Macaca fascicularis: one gene and its partners. The protein of the gene in region 1 interacts with the protein of each later gene in a pairwise test. Links are inferred from orthologs where the notes say so. Each region holds a gene or a part of one and is shown in the gene's direction. Other genes may lie near its edges.

Region 1 (4,100 bases):
CCAGAAAGATGTCTAATCCAGAAGCAATTTCTTTTCCCAAAGGAAAAGTGCCAAGGGAACCTGAAGTGCCATGGTAGAGAAGCAGGAACCCTATAGTTGAGCCTCTGAACGCACTGGTCTAGGTGGCTACTCAGGATCAGTGCAGGGGGCCTGCACACCACTAGGGGCAACAGTACCTTGAACAGGCTGTTCGTCTCACCTGGGGTTCTAGTTTGTTATCAAGCAAAAGGGGCTCACTGCCCAATATGCTAGAAGCCAATACTGACACCAAGTTTTTGAAAAAAAGAAAAGCTTTATATTAAAAGTCACCTCTGAAGGAGGCAGGAGTCAAGCTCAAATTTGTCTCTCTGTGCTGGCATTAAAGCAGTATTTTTATTGGAAAAGGTTCAGGGGGTGGATTCTGAGATTAGCAGGTGATTGGTACAAGGAAAAGGGAGGTCTGGAAAGTCCTTGGGCATGCACAGTTATTTCTTCATGTTAACTCCTGAGTTGCATGTGCAAATTCAGGGGGAATTAGTACAAAACATGTGGTGGAAATTCAGGCTACGACATCAGCAAGCTTATTGTGTGCAAGCTCCAGTCAGCCATTTTGGTTCCAACCAATTTCCGCCAGGTTTTTCTAGATCTCACAAGTGGAGGGAGTTTCAGCAGCTTAAATTTCTTTTCTTATCTGCTATCCCGAAACTCAAAAATTTCTGTTAGTTACTGATTTCTTACTCTTTGGGACTTTCCATATCTCCCATTTCCATCTACCAATCACCTACTAATCTCGGAATCTACCCCCGGAAACTTTTCTAATAAAAATACTGCCTTAATGTCAGCACCGAGAGACCGGTTTGAGTTTGACTCTTGTCTCCTTGGGAGTTGACTTTGAATATACAAGTTTTTCTTTTTTAAAGAACGTAGTGTTTTAGTATTGGCTTCTATTGCATTGGGCAGTAAGCCCCTTCAGCTCTATCACACTAACTCCAGGTAGATAGCATCAGAATGAAATGGAATTGTAGGGCACACAGTTGATGTCAGAGAATTAAGGAATTGAGTAGTGTCAGAAAACACCTCAGACTATACTTTCTCGCTTGGTGTGGGAAGAGTTCAGTTGTGTTTCCTTCTTCTTGAGTGACCGAACTCCAAGAAGACGCCACTTCTGGAGAGAAACTAGGGGTCTCAACTTAGCCTGGCAGTGAGAATACAAATGGCAGCTGGGATGACCCAACAGGGGGCTAATGTTTGAGCTATTGTGTGTCACACTGACCCTGACCGGCCAAGTAGTCACAGCCCCCACAGGTTCTTCCTGCCTGTCAGATGCCTCATTCCCACCTGTGATGCTCAGACAGAAACCATGAGCCCTGAAAAACACCCTATTGTTTTGTGATGTCACCTCTGGAATGTTCTGAGTGTTTTGGTGACCAACTTCTGCATAGGACCTATACCTGGCAACTCACATTGGTATGGCTTTTTACTTGAGATAGAAATAATCATCTTAGGCAAGCAGGTACAGTTATCTCCGCGTCAAAGACTTTCAAAAGTCTTTTACATCAACTATAATATCTAGCTTAATATCTGTTCAGAGATTGATAAACCGTCTTGCCAGATATCGTCTACACATTCTTCCAGACTTTCATAATTGTACATAACTGACAAGAGGGAAATAAATGAGGAGAAAGTTCTATGTTTTTTAGGTGAGCAATTGAGGCCCAGAGGATGAGTTGGGAAGCAGCAATCTTCTTCTTTTCTCTTTTCCACAGCACTCAAGGCCAAATTTTACAAGAAAAAGAGATACCAGATCTGAAAGCCTAGAAATTCCAATCAATGTGGTTCTACCTCAGGTAGGGATAATCACAGAGGATGTAACCTATCGGTGTTAGCCAGAATAACCCCCTACCTCCTCCTTCAAAACTCTAGCAAGATGTTGTAGAATAAGCAGAGATAGGGCTTCAGGTTCTAGTTTGGGTTGGCTGCCAGCAGGCAGCGTGCTGGGGAAGGCCACATAGCCCCTGTGGGCCTTGGGTTCTTTTTCCCACGAATGAGGTGGTTGGGTCAGATGGTTTGGTAAGAACTTCCAGTCCTAACATTCCAAGTTTCTATGATACTCTGAAGTAACCCAACCTTCTCAAAACGAGACCTTTTGGTGCTTAGTGTTGTGCATTCACTTTGGATTTCTAGAGGAGAATTAGAACTGGGACTTGGAATCAAATGCATAAGAATGAATCCATGAGAAGAAAACCTCCTTCATGGACAGAGGGGTACAGAGTTATTTGGAGTTGTCAAGAGAATTAAGCCCTGCTATGCACCAAAGACAGATGTAGGGGCCATGGGCATAGATGCTTTTGTGGTCAATGAATTGGTGAAGTCCTCACAGGCTAGAGATTCTCAGGTCTCCTCCTGCCTGAAATCAGCTCTTTCCTTAGTGGAGTCTTCTTGATTGAATTGTGTCTACTGATGCTATGTCACAAAGGGGTGGCTTTGCTTTCTCCAGAGTCACCTAAGGCCTCATTGGAAGACCAGGGCCATGCAACCAGAGGGGTTGAAATGTAGGATGGAGGAATCCAAAGCAGAGGTAACTATCTGAGAGCTCTGTCCAGGGATGTGTAGGAGGAGGATTGACCACTGGTGAGCATTCCAGATATAATTGTAACAATCTAGGCAAGTATGTTCAGTGGGAGGCAAACATATGGAAGAAGAAAACATCCTGGATGTTTATTTTCACATTATCTTTATAACTTTGTAATGAACAGTCACTTTTCTATGACTTGAATCTTAGCTAGAATATAAGATAACTTCCCCCTGATCATTCGACAGGATAACAAGCTGTAGGAATCTTTTTGGGCCTGATTCTTTCCACCTGAAATATGCAGGGAGTTGTGTTGGCCACTGCTTCCCCAAGAGTGGGTGTTACTGCTGTGATGCCTCATGGCCCATATAAACCAATCTTTTCTTCCAGAATCCTGGGGCCTCTCAACTTTACATGCTTTGAAAGTACCTCAGATGGCTGAACGTTCTCTGATAGTAACCCTCAGTAATGTTGGCAAAGTTGGTGTTTAAGAAACTTGGTCAGGCAGAGGATGCCAACCTAGAGGTGGGTGTGAAGGAGGGGATAGGATTTGAAAGAGTAGTGGTCATGTGATAGAGAAATTGGAATGATGTTTCCATCAACACCTACCGTAACTTTCCCTCCCCAGCTCCCAGAAACAGCCCAGCAATCAAAGAGAAGAGAATGTGGTTTAAGACAGCTCAAGCTTGTCTTGGGGCTGCCTGATTACTGTTCTGGAGGACCTGGTGCTGCTGCTGGGGTCCTGTGGGGGCAGAGTGGGTGAAGAATGAGAGGATATCTCCTGTCTGGGCATGTGTACCTCTCACGGGAAGGTGTATACACCTGCCAAGAGGGCACAAGCCATGCACCAGGTTTTGGACACCTGTCAGGATGCTCAAGACTGGCACTCTGGGGACGGGTGTGGGTGTCTACAAGTAGATAATCTGAACCAAAATACCACCAGGGCTGCGAGAGGGACCAATGTGCTCACTCGGCCTCCCTAGATGAGATGGTGCATGGCTTAGGGGACAGGGTTGATCTGGGAAGCAAGGAGAGGAAGAAATATCGACTGAATGTTAGTGCGATCATGTGTTGAGCACGGTGCCAAGTAAGTGTGAGGTAGAGATTTTACAGGTACAGGAACTGGCAACCCCAGGAACCCCACTAGTAATGGCAGAGATGGAGGAAGGGGCTTGAACTCCAATCAGTGCCCATGTTCTCCGCTATACCAGGGCACATGCCACTAAGCTGGGCCACGCTGCATCTTAGCTCTGTGGTTCTTCTTTTGCTCTTTGGAGATGGAGTCTTCTCCCCGCATCTTAACCGCTCATCTCTGGGCTTCTTATTTTGTATTTGCCAAAAGCTACTCTATTCTGGGATGGAATCCACTTTCCATTTGTTTCAGAAAGGACTTGTGGCAGCAGCTCTGTCTCTAGAAAGTGCCTCTGCTTCCCAGCTCCCAGTCCTGCTGTGTGTTTAGGCTTCTCAATTACATTGCAAATGCCTGTGATCACTACTTGTTATCACCCTTAGGTCTTTTCAGGACGCATTGATTTCCCGTTTTTCTTCC
Region 2 (3,500 bases), on another chromosome or scaffold:
GAATGCATAAGGAAAAGCAGTTTTCTCCGCAAATGGGAGTCTGATGCCTTCTCCATTTTCTTTAAGGAACCTCATGCTATTATAAACTGTTTTAGGTCCCTCATGCAGCAGAGGGTGCAAGAGAAAGGAGAGACAGCAGAACTAAATGAAGAAAATAGCCTTCAGTCAACTGAGAAGAAAAAAAAAATTTTGCTCAAAAAACACAAGGACCTAGGAGAGAGAAAAAAGAAAAATCATGAAAGCCTTTTAAACACACACACACACAGAGACACACACATATCTTGGATGTTAGCTTTTAATTAAGCTGACTTTTAAGCTTTTGAGTTTCTTTCAAATTTTTTTTCTAAATCTCTTCAACATATTTCAGCTAGGACGAATAGCTGCTATTTCAGAAGTACCAAGTATCAAACCAGAAAGGTCTTGATTTAGGAACCAAACCCAGGCTGTTACGGAAAAAAAGAAGACAGAACCTCAGCTATGGAACTGCAGTGTGGGTGACAATCATTTCTCTTTCAGTTTGGCCTGGCTAGCAAAAAGATGGCCTTGTTATGTAAATGAAACCACTTAAGTAGTCAAAATCAAAAATCTTCTCCCCCTTTTTTACTTTTACTGGCCGTTTTTTCTTCCCCCACCACCACTTTTCTGATGGGAATTTAGCCACTTCAGAGGCCTTGTTCCACATAATTTGGAACTTTCCTTTGGATTTGATCAAGTCAGATAGAATTGGCCAAACCCAATGGGAAAAGGACCAAAACAGCAAAAACAGAAAGAAACAACAAAAAAAATAACGGTTAAGTGTAACAAACAAATGATCACACAACTTGTATGATTACTGAACACTGTAATGGTAAGGAAAAATTAAGAGCAGCTGGTTGTTAATCTTACCTTTAGCCAAGACAAACCCCAATTCAGTTACTTACCTAGGGACGGGTCTTAGGCTGAAGACTTGTCTCTATCATCTTAGAAGCAGGAAAAAAAAACCCTCAAACTTGTCTTTCCTGTTGGGAGCGAGTTCAAACTCCAGAAATGAGTTTTCATGGTAGCAGGAAAACTTGCCTTCCTTGTTGAAAGCAAGTAAAACTCCAGAAAAAGAGAAGAGTTGTTCAGAAAATAAACTCTGGCCTTCGAACGAATTTTGGGAAATGAGGGATTCCCTGGATAGGGGACTTCCAGACCTCAGCAACTTGTCAAATTAGTTTGAGCCACAAAGATAGCCAAGCTGCTAGCAGGCACTGGTAGAATGTTTGTCAAAGGTCAGGAGCACCTCTACTCAGAATCCCTTTGTGGTTGCCAAAATGTGAAACCCCAAAATCTGAGACAGGTCTCAGTCAATTTAGGAAGTTTATTTTACCAAAGTTAGGGATGCATGCCTGCGACACAGCCTCAGGAGGTCCTGATGACATGTGCCCAGGATGGCAAGGTAGTCAGAGCACAGGTTGGTTTATATGCTTTTTAGGGAGACATGAGACATGAATCAACATATGTAAGATGAACATTGGTTCGATCTGGAAAGGTGGGTCACCTCAAAGCATTGATGAGACAACTTGAAGCAGGGAGGTTGACTTCAAGATCATAGGTAGATAAAAAACAAATGGTTGCATTATTTTGAGTTTGTGGTTAGCCTTTCCAAAGGAGGCAATCAGATATGCATTTATCTGAGTGAGCAGAGAGATGACTTTGAATTCATTTATTTTCAGATTTTTATTTTACAAAATCAGATACGCATCTATCTCAGCAGAGGGTAACTTTGAATTGATTTATTTTCAAATATTTATAAAAAGATTTATTTTCCTTTCACAATGTTAATGCCATAAATAATTTCTTAGATCTACTAATTTTAGTGTTAAAAATAGGTTCCAATAATTATAAAAAATTAATATGAAATATTTTATGGGGAGATTTCAGGTTTAGTATTGGTTGTATATAGGAAAGCTATTTGTATTTATATATGTTTTTAAACTAACATCCTAAGGCATTTTGCTACTAATCCTTATGGTTTTATAGAAAACTCTCTTAAGAACTTCCTAGATTATGTCATCTGCTAGTTACAGTGATTTTTGACTCCTTGTTCCAGGTTTTTATACCTTCATTTTTTTTCTTAAATTATTATATCAGGAGCTTTGACCTTACTTTGAACAGCCTCAGCAGTGAGAGTATACCCCTGCCCTCACCCAGAGTTTTACAAAGGGCTGCCTGGTATAATTTTACCCTGCAGGGAAAAGCTGACCATGGAGGAGCCTGATTCATCTAGTGTACTGTTCACCTTAGGAGAAGGAGCAGGGCTACCACTCTGGCTGGAGACCTGCCCTCAGTCTACCTCAGTCTCAGCCCAGGGGCTGTCAGATCCTTCCTCTGGCCTCTCGCCCTGCTTGATTCTGAAATGTTTGGTTTTGTCTCCACAGGGCAGGACACATCCTCACAGAAAATTGAAGACTTGATGGAAATGGTGAAAAAGCTGCAGAAAGGTCATGTGTCTCCTTTGTGTGAGGCTCAGCCTGAGATTTGGGGCCAAGCAGATGTGGGTTCAATTTCCAGCCCCACAATGTATAAACTTGGGAAATAATCCTCTTCACCTTCTCTTTCTTTTAAAACTTAATTACTTAAACTAAAAATCGGGTCCCATGATTCAAAATTAAAGAAGGAAAAAGGGTAAGGAAGGCAAAGTGTTTTCCCAAAACCCTGTCCCAAACCTCTTGCTGGTCACCCATTTGGCTCCACTGCAGTCCATTAAATCCAGAAGTTGCCACCTTTACTTCCCTTCCTTTCCCCTCAACCCCTACTCCCTCTTTGCTCACTAGGCTCCTGCCAGCCATGTTCCCACCTCAGAGGGGGTCTTTGCACTGACTACCTCCCACCCCAACCCAAAGAGCTGCAGGGCCTGCCCCCCACCACCTGATTTGGGGCTCTCATGATACCTTCCCATATCTGAGGAGCGCTTTCCACTCCTTTGCGCTTTAACCCCCCTTGCCCTACTTTATTTCTCTTGAACACAGTTACCACAGCCCCACTCAGTATCTTATTGTGTCTGTTCCCAGTCTCACCCACCCAGAACATGAGCCCTGTGAGGGCCCCACACAGCACCTGCTTTCAGTAGGTACTGAATAGATCTGTGTTGCGTGAAAGCAGCAGAGACACAAGGCTGCAAGCACCCCACCTCTGCCTGCCCTGTCAACTCAACCTCCTTTCCTCCCTGCAGTGGGAAGCCTAGAGCCCCGAGTTGAGGTCCTGATTAACCGGATTAATGAGGCCCAGCAAGGTGAGTTCAGGGGCCTTGGCTGCCAGCTAGTACCAGCTACATGGTTTGCGGGACTCAGTGCCAAATGAGAATGCAGGGTCCCTTGTTCCAAAGTTACTGGTTATTCACAACAGCAGCAGCAGAGCCTTAAGTACAGGGCATTTCAGCATGCAACTGCCATAGTTAATATACCCATGATCCTAGCCCTGCTATCAGCAGAGCCTGGCAAGGAGAGCCTGGACTCTGGAAGCCTCGTTTCCTACTG
Region 3 (3,500 bases), on another chromosome or scaffold:
AGCGTGCGGTGCCCATTAGAGACAGCCTGGAACTCTGACAGGCCTGGACGCACACCCTGCTGGGCCGCTAGCCAGGTGCATGGCTTTGGGTGGGGATGAGAACCCTGAGGCTGGGCTTTAGGTGGCTGGCCTGCCAACAAAGTGTATGCCACAGGGTGATACCTGGGAAAGGCTCAGCAAGGGCCCGCCACCACACTGGTGCCCAGCAGATGGCTGTCCAGTGTCTAATGTATCTGCACATAGACGGGCATGGACCCTAGGAATCCAGAATCCTGTGGAATCAGGAGCTTGGTCTGCCTGGGTCTTTTTCTCCCCTGTGAAGTTGTTCTAAGTCATGATGTACAAGCATGATGTACAAGGGGCTTAGAGTTTAGCCCATTGGGAATTAAGGGTCAGGCCCCCACTTCCTTTGAAGGCTGGAGGCTGACCACCCCAACTTCACCCCACCCAGACTCAGGTCTAATGGTACAAAAGCTGGCTGACTGGCCGGGGTGTGGTGTAGGCCAGGCGGCTCCCTCAACTCCCCAGCTGTGCTCTAGTCCTCCTTGACCAGGCCCTCCTGCGATGTGCCCGTGGAAAGGGGGCTGATGGCCTGTTTAAACCCACCTGTGACGGATTTGTCATCTCCAGTGCTGGCCGAGCTTGTGCAGGCTCAGGTTGAGCGGTAGTGGGATGTGAAATGCTGCTCAAGGTTTAGGCCCCAGGTCAGAGCCTGTTAAGCCCCATAATGTCACATGACTCAGTGTCTCCTCCCTTTCTAGCGTGGTGCCTCTTGTCCAGATGGGAGAGACCGATGCGAACGTGGCCAAGTTCTTAAACAGGTACTCGCGTGGAACCTGGGGGTCCCTCTCTGAAAGCCGAGGCTCGTCTGTGGGAAGTAGCAGTGGTGCAGTGTTCCCACACCCCCTCCTCCATTCCCTTAGTGTTTATGAACATCTGCTCTGTGCCAGGCACCACGGCAGGCACAGGAGAGGCAGTGGCGAACAAGGTGGACACTGTGCCTGTCCCGAGAAGATTCAGATCTTATTGGGAGAGGCTGCTGTAAAAACCAGGAAGAAAAACTTATGTACAAAGTGGCCTTGCGGGAGCGAAGGGCGTTCTTAGAGGCTGGGTGCTCAGGGAAGGCCTCTCGGTGGTGGCCGACCAGGGAGCCAGGCTTCAGGCCCTCTCTCAGCCAGTTTCCTCTCCCCGAGAGGGCCTGGGGCAGTGTGAACCAACAAAAGAGAGCCGGGCCAAGCTGAGCTCAGGGGCCCCCCGTGCAGGCCCCAGTGAGCCAGGCTAGCCCAGGGAGGGCTTCCTCTGCCTTGCTGCCGGCCCATGAGGCTGGAGCCACACCTGGCCCAACGCCTGCTCTGCTGGTTCCTGCCCCAGCCCTGGCTCCTGTGGCACCAGTGTGAGCAAGGCCAGAGCCTGGGGGCAGGTAGAGAGCTGGGGGAGTGGGTCTGCACCCCAGGAGCTGTCCTGGGTGTCTAGAAAGTGACCTCAGGCCCCTGACTGGCCACTCCTCCCACGGACATGGCCTGGCTTCGACAGGTCCTGAGCAGCTCCTTTCCTTCTGGGAGTGGGGTTTCACCGGGAGTGAGGAGCAGGTCCATTTCACCTTCAAAGCAGCAACCCTGGGGGGACCCTTGCGGTCCCATAGCATTGCACGGGACAGGCCATTTCATCTCTTCAGTGAGGCTTCACAGAGCCAACAAGCAACAGGTACGCTGCTGCCCTCCAGGAGCACGCAGCCCAGAGGTAAAATACCCCGAACCACCTCCCCTTCGCTGTCCCTGAGAGCCAGCTGTGGGGCTCAGGGCGCTTGAGTCAGGGGAGGGCTCAGGAGGACGTGGTGTGGAGCTGGCCTCTGAGGGCAAGACTGGAGCAGAGAGAGAGGGAGGAACGTGGTGCCCAGTGCTGGGAATGACACAGCAAAAGATGCGGACAGCAGGAGGCAGAAGAGCTGACAGCGTAAGTGCCTTGTGGGGCCCATGGCGTTGTCCTCTAGTTCCCTCCATTGCTGCCCCTGCAGAAGGCCTCATGCACAGATGGCCCACTGCTGTTGGCTCAAAGGAGGAGGCGGGAAAGGGACTGGGCTCTGGTCTCTAGAGTGCCCCAGCCTGTGCTGCTCACCTGGTACCTTTGGCAATGTTTGGAGGCATTACCGGTTGTCACACTGGGTTCAGGGGTGCCACTGGCATCTGGCGGGTGGGGACCAAAGGTGCTGTCAGCATCCTACATTGCACAGGATGCACAGGACAGCCCCGAACACAGAGAATGATCCAGAATGTCAGTAGGGCCTAGTCCAGCAGTGTCACCATCACCCAGGATGGGAACTAGACCTACAGAGTCCCGGGCCTGGCCCAGCCCTCCCGAATCAGAATCTGCACGTTGCTTAGATCCCCCGGTGATGCCTGTGCACACTGTAGTTTGGGAAACACCCAAACTGATCACGCACATGAGCCCTGATCACTCAAAAGTGCAGAAACCAGCTCAGAGAGGAGTCCAAAGTCATCTGCCCCATGGGGTAGGGCTGGGGCAATAGCCTCATCCTGCAGGAATGGCCCCAGCCTTGACACTGGAGTAGAGTCCTTGGCATTCACAGCAGCTGGCCTCGCATGCCATCCATCAAGTGCAAGGTGGTGGGCCCCCGCCCTCCCTGCACGGTGTGCCCAGAGCGCGTCATTTATATCTCCTCCTTGTAGGCAGATATGGGAAGACCCAGTTAGCATTGATCTCTCATTTCAAACCACTCTGTTTGCTTCTCTCTCTCTGCCCCTCCAGACTCAGTGACTATCTCTTCACACTAGCCAGATATGCAGCCATGAAGGAGGGGAATCAAGAGAAAATATACAAGAAAAATGACCCATCAGCCGAGTCTGAGGCACGCTGAAATCACAGAAAGTGGGAGCTTGGAGGATCCCCCCGTGGCAATGGTCATGGAGAGAGGAGCTTGCCCTTCCGGGGTCCTGGTTCCTGAAGAGCTCACCCAGAGAGACTGAAAGCAGCCTTTCGTCCCAGCTCTGCTTTGCTCCACACCTCCTGCCACCTTCCTCAAGGGACTGTGGCCCTTTGGGGATTCTGTCCCTGACCCTGCTTCCCCAAGCTCTCCTGGGTCTTGGAGGGATGTGGGAATGAATTGGCATTGCAGGAAAGACAGGTAAAGTGATTGCTGCAATGAGAAGGAGCTGTGCGGAAAAAGAATAAAAGTGAGAAAGGCTGGAGCTGTGTGTGTGTGTGTGTGTGTGTGTGTGTGTGTGTGTGTGTGTGTGGAAAAAGAATAAAAGTGAGAAAGGCTGGAGCTGTGTGTGTGTGTGTGTGTGTGTGTGTGTGTGTGTCCTCCCACTGCCAGCTCAGATTGTTCAGAGATTTGGAGTGTGTGTGTGTGTGTGTGTGTGTGTGTGTGTGTGTGTGTGTGTGTCTGTGTCCTCCCACTGCCAGCTCAGATTGTTCAGAGATTTGGAATGGGACCAGAGGCCCTTGAAAATGTAATTGTGATTTACCTGTGCCAAAGGGGC
Region 4 (3,286 bases), on another chromosome or scaffold:
GGGGATCATGGCTCACTTCATCCTCAATGTCCTAGGCTCAAGCAGTCCTCCTACCCAGCCTTCTGAGTAGCTGAGACTACAGGCATGCACCCATGCCTGGCTAATTTTTTATTTTTTGTAGAGATAGAGACCGGCTAGGTTGTCCAGGCTGGTCTTGAACTCCTAGCTTCAAGCATTCCTCCTGCCTCAGCCTTTCAAAGTGCTGAGATTGCAAGTGTAAGCCATTGCCCCCAGGCATGATGAAACTTAATTTTTAAATTATTTTTTTCTTTTCTTTTTTTTTTTTTGAGATGGTGTCTCGCTTTGTCGCCCAGGCTGGAATACAGTGGCGCGATCTCACTGCAAGCTCCGCCTCCCGGGTTCACGCCATTCTCCTGCCTCAGCCTCCCGTGTAGCTTGGACTGCAGGCGCCTGCCACCGCGCCCGGCTGATTTTTTGTATTTTTAGTAGAGACGGGGTTTCACTGTGTTAGCCAGGATGGTCTCGATCTCCTGACCTCGTGATCTGCCCGCCTCGGCCTCCCAAAGTGCTGGGATTACAGGCATGAGCCACCGCGCCCAGCCTAATTATTTTTATTTATTTATTTATTTATTTTTTTTGAGACGGAGTCTCGCTCTGTCACCCAGGCTGGAGTGCAGTGGCCGGATCTCAGCTCACTGCAAACTCCGCCTCCTGGGGTTACGCCATTCTCCTGCCTCAGCCTCCTGAGTAGCTGGGACTACAGGTGCCCGCCACTGCGCCCGGCTAGTTTTTTGTATTTTTTAGTAGAGATGGGGTTTCACCGTGTTAGCCAGGATGGTCTCGATCTTCTGACCTCATGATCCGCCCGTCTCGGCCTCCCAAAGTGCTGGGATTACAGGCTTGAGCCACCGCACCCGGCCTATTTTTTTTCTTATAGAGATAGAGTCTTGCTATGTTGCACAGGCAGGTCTTGAACTCCTGAGCTCAAAGGATCCTACTGCCTCAGCCACCTAACATTTCATCGGTCTATGATGAAATGTTTTTTTTTTTTGAGCTGGAGTTTCACTCTTGTTGCCCAGGCTGGAGTGCAATGGCGTGATCTCGGCTCACCACAACCTCTGCCTCCTGGGTTCAAGTGATTCTTCTGCCTCAGCCTCCCGAGTAGCTGGGATTACAGACATGTGCCACCACGCCTGGCTCATTTTGTATTTTTGGTAGAGATGGGGTTTCTCCATGTTGGTCAGGCTGGTTTCAAACTCCCGACCTCAGGTGATCTGCCCGCCTTGGCCTCCCAAAGTGCTGGGATTACAGGCATGAGCCACTGTGCCTGGCCGAAACTTAATTTTTTAATTTTTATTTTTTTTTCTTATAGAGATAGGGTCTTCCTATGTTGCCCAGGCAGGTCTTGAACTCCTGAGCTCAAAGGATCCTACCGCCTCAGCCACCTAAAGTCCTTAAGTCCATGATGAAATGTTAAATGCCATCCATGTGCCACCTAAGCATGCGTCACCCCATCAGGCTTCCCAGCCCCATAGGCATCCCGTGCTGAAGACGCCACAGTTCTGTTTAGAATACTCCATGCCCACACCTGATGAGGAGCTGGTATGTCCCCCTTGCCTGCGGGAGTGCCGGAGGTCCCCAGCTCCTAGGAGTACGGTGTTCCTAGCATGTTGATCTTTCCAAAACACTTCTAGCTGGGCGCAGTGGCTCACACCTGTAATCCCAGCATTTTGGGAGGCTGAGGCGGGCAGATCACAAGGTCAGGAGATCGAGACCATCCTGGCTAACATGGTGAAACCCCGTCTCTACTAAAAATACAAAAAACTAGCCGGGCGTGGTGGTAGGCACCTGTAGTCCCAGCTACTGGAGAGGCTGAGGCAGGAGAATGGCATGAATTCAGGAGGCGGAGCTTGCAGTGAGCCGAGATCGCGCCACTGCACTCCAGCCTGGGGGACACAGTGAGACTCCGTCTCAAAAAAAAAAAAAAAAAAACTCGCTTCCCAGCCACTTCTGCCATTCCTCATTTTAGGAGGAAAGTGCTCAGAGAGAGAAAACGGCTGGCAAAATCTTCAGAGCCGAGGTGTCTGCTGGGCCGGATGCCCCCAGGCAGGCCCAGGCGAGGAGCTGGGCATCACAGGGAAAGGCCGCCTCTGCAGAGGGGGATGAGAGCGAGGTCTCGGAGCATCTCAGTGCCAGCTCGGCCTCTGCCATCCAGCAGGACAGCATTTCCAGCATGCAGCCACCATCTGAAGCCCCCATGGTGAACACAGTCAGCTCAGCTTATTCTGAGGATTTTGAAAACTCTCCAAGTCTGACGGCATCTGAGCCAATGGCCCGTTCCAAGGAGTCTCTTGACAGAACACTGGACGCTCTGTCTGAATCCTCTTCAAGTGCGAAGACAGACTTTCCACAAACAGCCGAGGCTAGGAAAAAGTCGGGCAGGCACGTGACAAGGGTGCTTGTGAAGGACACAGCTGTGCAGACCCCGGACCCCACCTTCACCTACGAGTGGACCAAAGGTAAGCACTGGGGCCCGCGGGGGCCGGGGCAGCCCGGACAGGAGCTCAGCGTGTGGTTTACAGCATCCTGGGAGACACGTGGGAGAGCTCAGGTTCCCGAGATCTGGACTCTTGTTATTAATCACCTGGAGGGGTTGGCCAGGCAAGGTGGCTCACACCTGGAATCCCAGCACTTTGGGAGGCCGAGGCAGGAGGATCACCTGAGGTCAGGAGTTCAAGATCAGTCTGGCCAACATGGGGAAACCCCATCTCTACTAAAAATACAAAAATGAGCTGGCTGTCGTGGTGTGTTCCTGTCATCCCAGCTACTCAGGAAGCTGAGGCATGAGAAGAACCCGGGAGGCAGAGGTTGCACTGAGCTGAGATGATGCCACTGCACTCCAGCCTGGGTGATAGAATGAGACTCTGTCTCAAAAAAAAAAAAAAAAAAATCACCCAGGGACCTTGGCTCACCATTTCCTCTTCCACGGATGAGGGGCTGCTGCCCTGGTGTGTCCCGATGTCTTCCTAGCCCTGAAGCGTTCAGAAGGATCAGAACCAAGGACTAGGGTAGCAGCTCCCACAGGATGATTCTGTCATGGGGGGCCTCCAGCAGGGTCTGGAGACATTATTGGTTGTGACAACTCGGGGTGGGGAATGCTATTGGCATCTGCTGGGCGGAGGCCAGGGGTGCTATTCCACACCCTGCAGTGCACAGGATGCCTTTGTCCTGGAGAATGAACACCCTGGGTGACTTTCCAGACATGTCTCTCTCTCACTCTGTTTTTAGAGATGGGGTCTTGCTGTGTTGCCCAGGCTGGAGTGCT
Region 5 (2,205 bases), on another chromosome or scaffold:
GGAAACTGGGCATATAAAGTCATTATGAATCAGAGCAGTGGTTGGCAAATGAGAGCCTGTGGATCAAATCCGACCTGCCACCTGTTTTTATATAAGCCATGCTTATTTGTGCCTCTGTTGTCTGTGACTGCTTTCACACTACAAACAGCAGAGTTGAGTAGTTGGGACAGAGATAGATTTTGCCTACTGTCTGGCCTTTTAAAAGAAAGTTTGCGGACTCCTAATCTAGGGCATTGCTGAGCTGAGAACCTTGTCACTGGGGGAGAGTATGAGCCAGTGTATAATCATAAATTTCATTGTCCTGGAGTGGGATTTTTTTGAGAGTGGAGGTTGCTGACAAGGGAGAGCACTGTACTTTGTGCCAAGTTCTTGCCTTTCTCCTGCAGCAAAGAGAAAGTTCTTTGTTTGGAGTATTAAAGATGCAGCCAGCTTAACTCAAAGGACGTAGTTAATCGTTATTAGAATTGAATGTTAAAGGAGTCCTCAGTTTACTGACTGCAGAGATTGAGTTATGAAAATAGACACCTGGCCCAGCTTTATTTCTTTTATTTCCTTTGATTTCAGGGAAAAGAGAAGTCACCTTTGGACCCTCGACCTAGTTTTGTCTTTGCCCCGGTAAGTATTACTTCTACCTGTCCCACCACACAGATCTGAACTCAGGTGTGGCCAGAAAAAGTAAGATGGTAAAGCTAAGCCACTCTCCACTACTTTGTGTTCCTATCCAGTTCCTACCTAATGATTCTCCTGGCTCTTCCTACCCACTGTTCCTGTCCTCCATTCTCCCTGGCCCCTTTTGACTCTATTATTCTTAGTTTTTAAGTTTTGTGATTGATGGCTCTTTTGTCTTACCTCACTTTTTTATGTGTTCACAGTGTCCCCATGAACTCCCTTGTCCCCAGTTGACAACCTCTAGGCCACTGGCGTGTAGCTTCTCACAGGCGTACCATCCCATCCCCTTCCGCTGGGTAGGTACCTGGGGATATTGCAGCAGGAAGCAAACATCTTGGAAAAAACAGGAAGAAAAAGAGTCAGAGTTAGGAGGCATTGGATAATTCACAGAATAGCCTAGAGACTTTAGGGCCTACATGTATATGATTTACACATTGTAAAAAAGGACTGCAGGAATGGGGAAGAAGGGGCTTGACAAACTTTTTTCCCATATGTTTTTCTTCTAAACAGTCTCTATGTTCCTTATCTTAGAACAAGAAACCAAAGGAAGAAAAGTTCTCTATGGTGATCCTTGCTCGGGGGTCTCCAGAGGAGGCTAATCGCTGGCCCCGTATCACTCAGCCTGTCCTTAGACGACCTCGCCATGTGCATTGTCACTTGTGCTGTCCAGATGGGCATATGCAGCATGCTGTGATCACAGCCCGCCGGCATGGCAGGTATAGGGGGTGTGACCAAAATTAGTGGGATGTGGCAAGAACCTGCAGCCCACATTAACGTCTCATTTCCATAGGGATTTGTATCGTTGTGCCCGTGTCAGCTCCTGGGGAGATCTTTTACCTGTGCTTACTCCGTCTGCGTTTCCTCCATCCACTGCTCAAGATCCCTCTGAGAGTTGACAAGGATGTCTAACAAGTATTTTCTTCTATCATGCCTGCCAGGGCTGACACTACCTGGTATCCAGGAGGGGACTGCTGGTATCCCCATATGTCTGTGTTTGTTTGAGATTTTTAATAATAAATAATAAATTTTTAAAGAATGGAAGTGGATTTTGTGATTCTTAAAAAGTGTAGAAGCTGGGCACAGTGGCATGTGCCTGCATTTCCAGTCACTCAGGAAGCTGAGGCAAGAGGATCATTTGAGCCCAGGTGTTAAGGCTGCAGTGAGCTGTGATTGTACCACTGCACTCCAGCCTAGGTGACAGAGCAAGATCTCCTCTCTTTAAAAAAAAAAAAAAAAAAAGTAAAAGGTATAGTTAATTATCCTGGTCTATCCTGTAATGAAGAGCTTCCTCAGATTTTTGATGCCAAGCTTCCCACACAAATCTCAAGCTCGCCTTCTCCTATTGTGGCAGTTCAGATCTCCATAAGCTCTTCGCTGTAATGATGAATGTGTAAGCTGATCATTAAAGCAGAAGTAGAAAAACCAGATTTCTATAAGCCCTTTGCTATAATGATGAATGTACAAGTTAAACATAAAAGCAGAAGCAAGAAAAATGTATAATGAATTGGGGGAACCTGGTGCCTGAGTATGAAGGCT
Region 6 (3,500 bases), on another chromosome or scaffold:
CAGGGCCAGTAGGAGGACTGACTCCAGGGGAGTGTTGGAAAGCCGGGGAGGTGAGGAGGGCTGGGCCCTTATCCAGCCTGCACCTTGGTCAGGAACAGAGCATGCACACCCTCCCTGTCTTCACAAGGATTCTCAGGCAACTCCCACAGGCCTGTAAAGTCACAGAGCAGGGCTTCTGAGGTCCTCTCCACTTCCCTCCCAGCCTCACAGGTCCACATGGATGTCCAGGCTACTGGACGACATCTGTCCCCATCTCCTCCTCAACTGTCCCTGTGGTCCCAGGAGAAGGGAATAGGAATCCATGCCTCTGTCACTTCATGCCCACACCTGCACATCGTGCCTGTGTGTGAGGGGTGTGCGTGAGCACACATGCTCACCTGCTGCGATGGGAGGCTCTGCTCTGTGGTGAACATCATGTTGGGCCCTTTGTACTTGGTGCCTGTGTGTATGTTGGGAAGCCAGTATGGGTGCTGGGAGGTGCGGATGGCTGAGAGATCCTAATCCTGGCAGAATGACGAAGGATCCAGAGGCTCAGAGCCTGCCCTCCCCCAGGCCAGGGCAGGTGAGGTATGAAGCATTCCCAAGGAGAGCCCCAGCCAGGCCCTGCCAGCTGCCCCCTCTTACCTGCCAGGAGCCCCAGAGCCTCCGCTCCCTCCTGGGAGTGTCCCAAGAGTGTCTCACTTCCTTCTTGATGCCTTCACAGCTCTACATGGATAGACCAAGAGGCTGTAGCATTTCAGCTGGAGAAACATGAGTCGGCAAAAAGATCTGGGGGTTCTAGAGGATCTCCTGGGCCTGAGGAGACTACATTTCTTAGGCTTATTGCTGAAAGAGCCAATGCGATGGTGGCTTCACATGGCGAGCTTCAGGCTTCTCCGGGTGAGACCGCACAGGGGCCAGAGGCCAGGGTGGGGAAGAACAGCTCAGGGAGGCTAGGCCTGGGGTCTGTGCATGCCTTGGAGCAGAGCAGCCTCTGGAGGGACCTTCACAGGACCAGGGAAACAGGCTGTGCCACGCAGCCCAAAGGGCAGGACCCAGAGCCAGGGAAAGAGGTTACTGGGGAGAAAGCGAGGGCTCCTGGGAGCCCCAAACCTAGAGGGGGCAGCAGAGAGAAGCAGTGAGCTCCCCATTCTTGGGGGATATTCCTTGAGGCCCAGAGCTACGGGGCCCATCCTGCGTTCCTGTCTGTCTGTCCGTCTGCAGGCGTGCCGATGCTCTCCGTTCAGCCCAAAGGGAAGCAGAAGGGTTGCGCGGGCTGTAACCGCAAGATCAAGGACCGCTATCTGCTGAAGGCATTGGACAAGTACTGGCACGAAGACTGCCTCAAGTGTGCCTGCTGTGACTGTCGCCTGGGCGAGGTGGGCTCCACCCTCTACACCAAGGCCAACCTCATCCTGTGCCGACGCGACTACCTGAGGTGGGCTGCCGACCCCTGGCCTCGCAAGCCCTTGTCCTGCTCAGAAAGCCCCCCATCCTCAGCCCTAGTGTTACTGTGCCCCGGCCCTAGACCCAGTACCCTGTGTGCCCCCCCATTCTTGACTGTCCTGCCCCTGCCCTGCTTGCCCCAGATACCTGAGGGAAGGCCCAGGTCTTTATGCCCTTGGACTCAGTGCTCAGCACAGGTTCAGGGCAGGCATTTGTAACCTGGGGCTCCTAAGTTAAGCTTTCCGAGGGCCCCAGCTTTGCTCCCCCCCACCACCCCTCACCCCCTGCCTTGGCCAGGTGCTTCTGACCCACCTGATCTGGAATCTGGGAGGGGATACTTCAGAGGGGCTTTGAGAACAGGTGTGGAAGCTTTGACTTCCCCGGGCCCCTCCTCCCTAATGCAGTCTTCTTCCCTCTCCCAGTGCCCAACTTTCCTTTCCAGGTGGTCCTTGGGAGCCGGCGTCCATTTGCCCAGGGAAACTGGCAGGCAGCCATATCCTAGGAGCAGGGCCACTGATGCTGGAGCTTCAAGACCTGGGTTGGAACTAGCTCTGAGCCTGTGGCTCCTAATCTTCTCCTAGCCTCAGTTTATTTCCCCGTGAAGGGTGAAAGAACAATGCTTCCCTGCCTTGCATTCCTCTGAGCTCTAACTCACCCTCCCTACAACCTGGATCCTATTCCCTGGGGCTGCCTCCCCCAGTTAACCCTCCCTGAGGCCATTTACGACATCAGCAAGGCTGGAAGGAGGCCACAAAGCAGGGCCTTGGCTGCGACCCAACACCTGCATTTGGCTCTGTCGCAGGCTGCTGGATGGCGGCTGGGCTTGTGGGGAAGGAGGGCTCATCGCATTCATTAACAGGTCAGGGCAAAGGCTTCATGGGGTTCCCTCTGCCTAGGTCTGGGCATGTTGCAAGGGCGAGGTTATCAGTGGAAGCTCCCCCACTTCCCCAAAGATTCTTTGACTGACCTGCCTGTACCTTCTCTCTTAACACCTGCATTTAAAAGTGATGTAGTAAAACAGAATCTGTGACTCAATGCTCCTTGCCAGGGCTGGAGGGGAGAGGCTGAGGCCAGGAGCAGGGGTTAAGGAAGAATGTTCAGACTAGGCATGGTGGCTCATGCCTATAATTCCAGCACTTTGGGAGGCCAAGGCAGGCAGATCGCTCCAGTTCAGGAGTTCGAGACCAACCCTGGACAACATGGTAAAACCCTGTTTCTACAAAAAAACAAAAACAAAAAAACAAAAAAACAAAAAAAAAAGAGCCAGGTGTAGTGGCTGCACGCCTGTCGTCCCAGCTACTCAGGAGGCTGAAGTGGAAGGATTGCTTGAGCCCAGGAGTTTGAGGCTGCAGTGAGCTGTGATCGCGCCGCTGCACTCCAGCTTAGGTGACAGCTCTTGCTGACCCTGTCTCAAAAAAGAAAAGAATGTTCCTGGGGATTCACCCCTTGAGGACCTAGAAGGGGCCTCCATGTCTGGAGGTTTAGGGCATCACCTGGGGGCTGAGCCTACCGGGTTAGGACAACATGGCAGACCAGCTGATGGGCCACTTGACTTGGAGAGAGAGGCCCACAGTGCAGAATGGGCTTATCAGGAAAAAGCACCCACAAGCATACAGGGCCCTGCCAGCTACTAGGGATGGAAGGTAATTTTTTTTTTCCTCTGGCAGAGGCAAGGAATGACTGTAGGACCAGCTAGACCAGTGGGCTGGGATGGGAGCGTGGCTTCCTTGAGCTGCTCAGGCTGGGAGAATGGCTGTCCAGAGCCTGCGCCCTCTGCAGCAACTGTTCCTGGGCTGATGGCAAGAAAAGCCCCTCTTGGCAGGCAGATGCTGTGGCCCAGCCTTTGTCTGCCTTAATCTGAGCCACCAGGCAGCTCAAGCTGATGAATAATGGAGCCAAGCTCATCTGCAGGCGCCTCAGCTTGAGCTGGACAAATTGGGGATTAGAGGGGCCCCCCTCTTCTCAGCCTCCTTGCCTCACTTGGGGCTTGCTCTGTCTGTGTGTAGGAAAGAAGCAAGGAGGAGCTGGGATGGCTCAGACCTTTGGGACATCCAGCCGAGGGCTGGCTTGCATGG

The links.
Region 2: the proteins of CBY2 (region 1) and SYCE1 interact in binary tests that used the Homo sapiens proteins (3 or more experiments, as listed by UniProt). The two-hybrid records come from large-scale screens. The link is inferred for Macaca fascicularis from reciprocal best matches to the Homo sapiens genes CBY2 and SYCE1.
Region 3: the proteins of CBY2 (region 1) and MMAB interact in binary tests that used the Homo sapiens proteins (3 or more experiments, as listed by UniProt). The two-hybrid records come from large-scale screens. The link is inferred for Macaca fascicularis from reciprocal best matches to the Homo sapiens genes CBY2 and MMAB.
Region 4: the proteins of CBY2 (region 1) and C19H19orf44 interact in binary tests that used the Homo sapiens proteins (3 or more experiments, as listed by UniProt). The two-hybrid records come from large-scale screens. The link is inferred for Macaca fascicularis from reciprocal best matches to the Homo sapiens genes CBY2 and C19orf44.
Region 5: the proteins of CBY2 (region 1) and METTL17 interact in binary tests that used the Homo sapiens proteins (3 or more experiments, as listed by UniProt). The link is inferred for Macaca fascicularis from reciprocal best matches to the Homo sapiens genes CBY2 and METTL17.
Region 6: the proteins of CBY2 (region 1) and LMO1 interact in binary tests that used the Homo sapiens proteins (3 or more experiments, as listed by UniProt). The two-hybrid records come from large-scale screens. The link is inferred for Macaca fascicularis from reciprocal best matches to the Homo sapiens genes CBY2 and LMO1.

Annotation. Positions count from the first base shown.
Region 1 is NC_088391.1:24,906,637-24,910,736, forward strand, and holds the start of CBY2 (protein chibby homolog 2), read left to right. Parts: upstream 1-1,300; 5' UTR 1,301-1,371; coding exon 1,372-1,446; intron 1,447-1,745; coding exon 1,746-1,826; intron 1,827-4,100.
Region 2 is NC_088383.1:142,658,560-142,662,059, reverse strand, and holds part of SYCE1 (synaptonemal complex central element protein 1), read left to right. Parts: intron 1-2,402; coding exon 2,403-2,465; intron 2,466-3,196; coding exon 3,197-3,256; intron 3,257-3,500. UniProt on the Homo sapiens protein: Major component of the transverse central element of synaptonemal complexes (SCS), formed between homologous chromosomes during meiotic prophase. Requires SYCP1 in order to be incorporated into the central element.
Region 3 is NC_088385.1:116,423,501-116,427,000, reverse strand, and holds part of MMAB (corrinoid adenosyltransferase MMAB), read left to right. Parts: intron 1-761; coding exon 762-821; intron 822-2,766; coding exon 2,767-2,875; 3' UTR 2,876-3,500. UniProt on the Homo sapiens protein: Converts cob(I)alamin to adenosylcobalamin (adenosylcob(III)alamin), a coenzyme for methylmalonyl-CoA mutase, therefore participates in the final step of the vitamin B12 conversion.
Region 4 is NC_088393.1:16,844,507-16,847,792, forward strand, and holds part of C19H19orf44 (uncharacterized protein C19orf44 homolog), read left to right. Parts: intron 1-1,990; coding exon 1,991-2,480; intron 2,481-3,286.
Region 5 is NC_088381.1:88,661,572-88,663,776, forward strand, and holds the end of METTL17 (ribosome assembly protein METTL17, mitochondrial), read left to right. Parts: intron 1-564; coding exon 565-615; intron 616-872; coding exon 873-965; intron 966-1,200; coding exon 1,201-1,385; intron 1,386-1,459; coding exon 1,460-1,565; 3' UTR 1,566-1,705; downstream 1,706-2,205. UniProt on the Homo sapiens protein: Mitochondrial ribosome (mitoribosome) assembly factor. Binds at the interface of the head and body domains of the mitochondrial small ribosomal subunit (mt-SSU), occluding the mRNA channel and preventing compaction of the head domain towards the body.
Region 6 is NC_088388.1:57,600,199-57,603,698, forward strand, and holds part of LMO1 (rhombotin-1), read left to right. Parts: intron 1-1,203; coding exon 1,204-1,417; intron 1,418-1,847; exon of another isoform or gene 1,848-1,867; coding exon 1,868-1,963; intron 1,964-3,500. UniProt on the Homo sapiens protein: May be involved in gene regulation within neural lineage cells potentially by direct DNA binding or by binding to other transcription factors.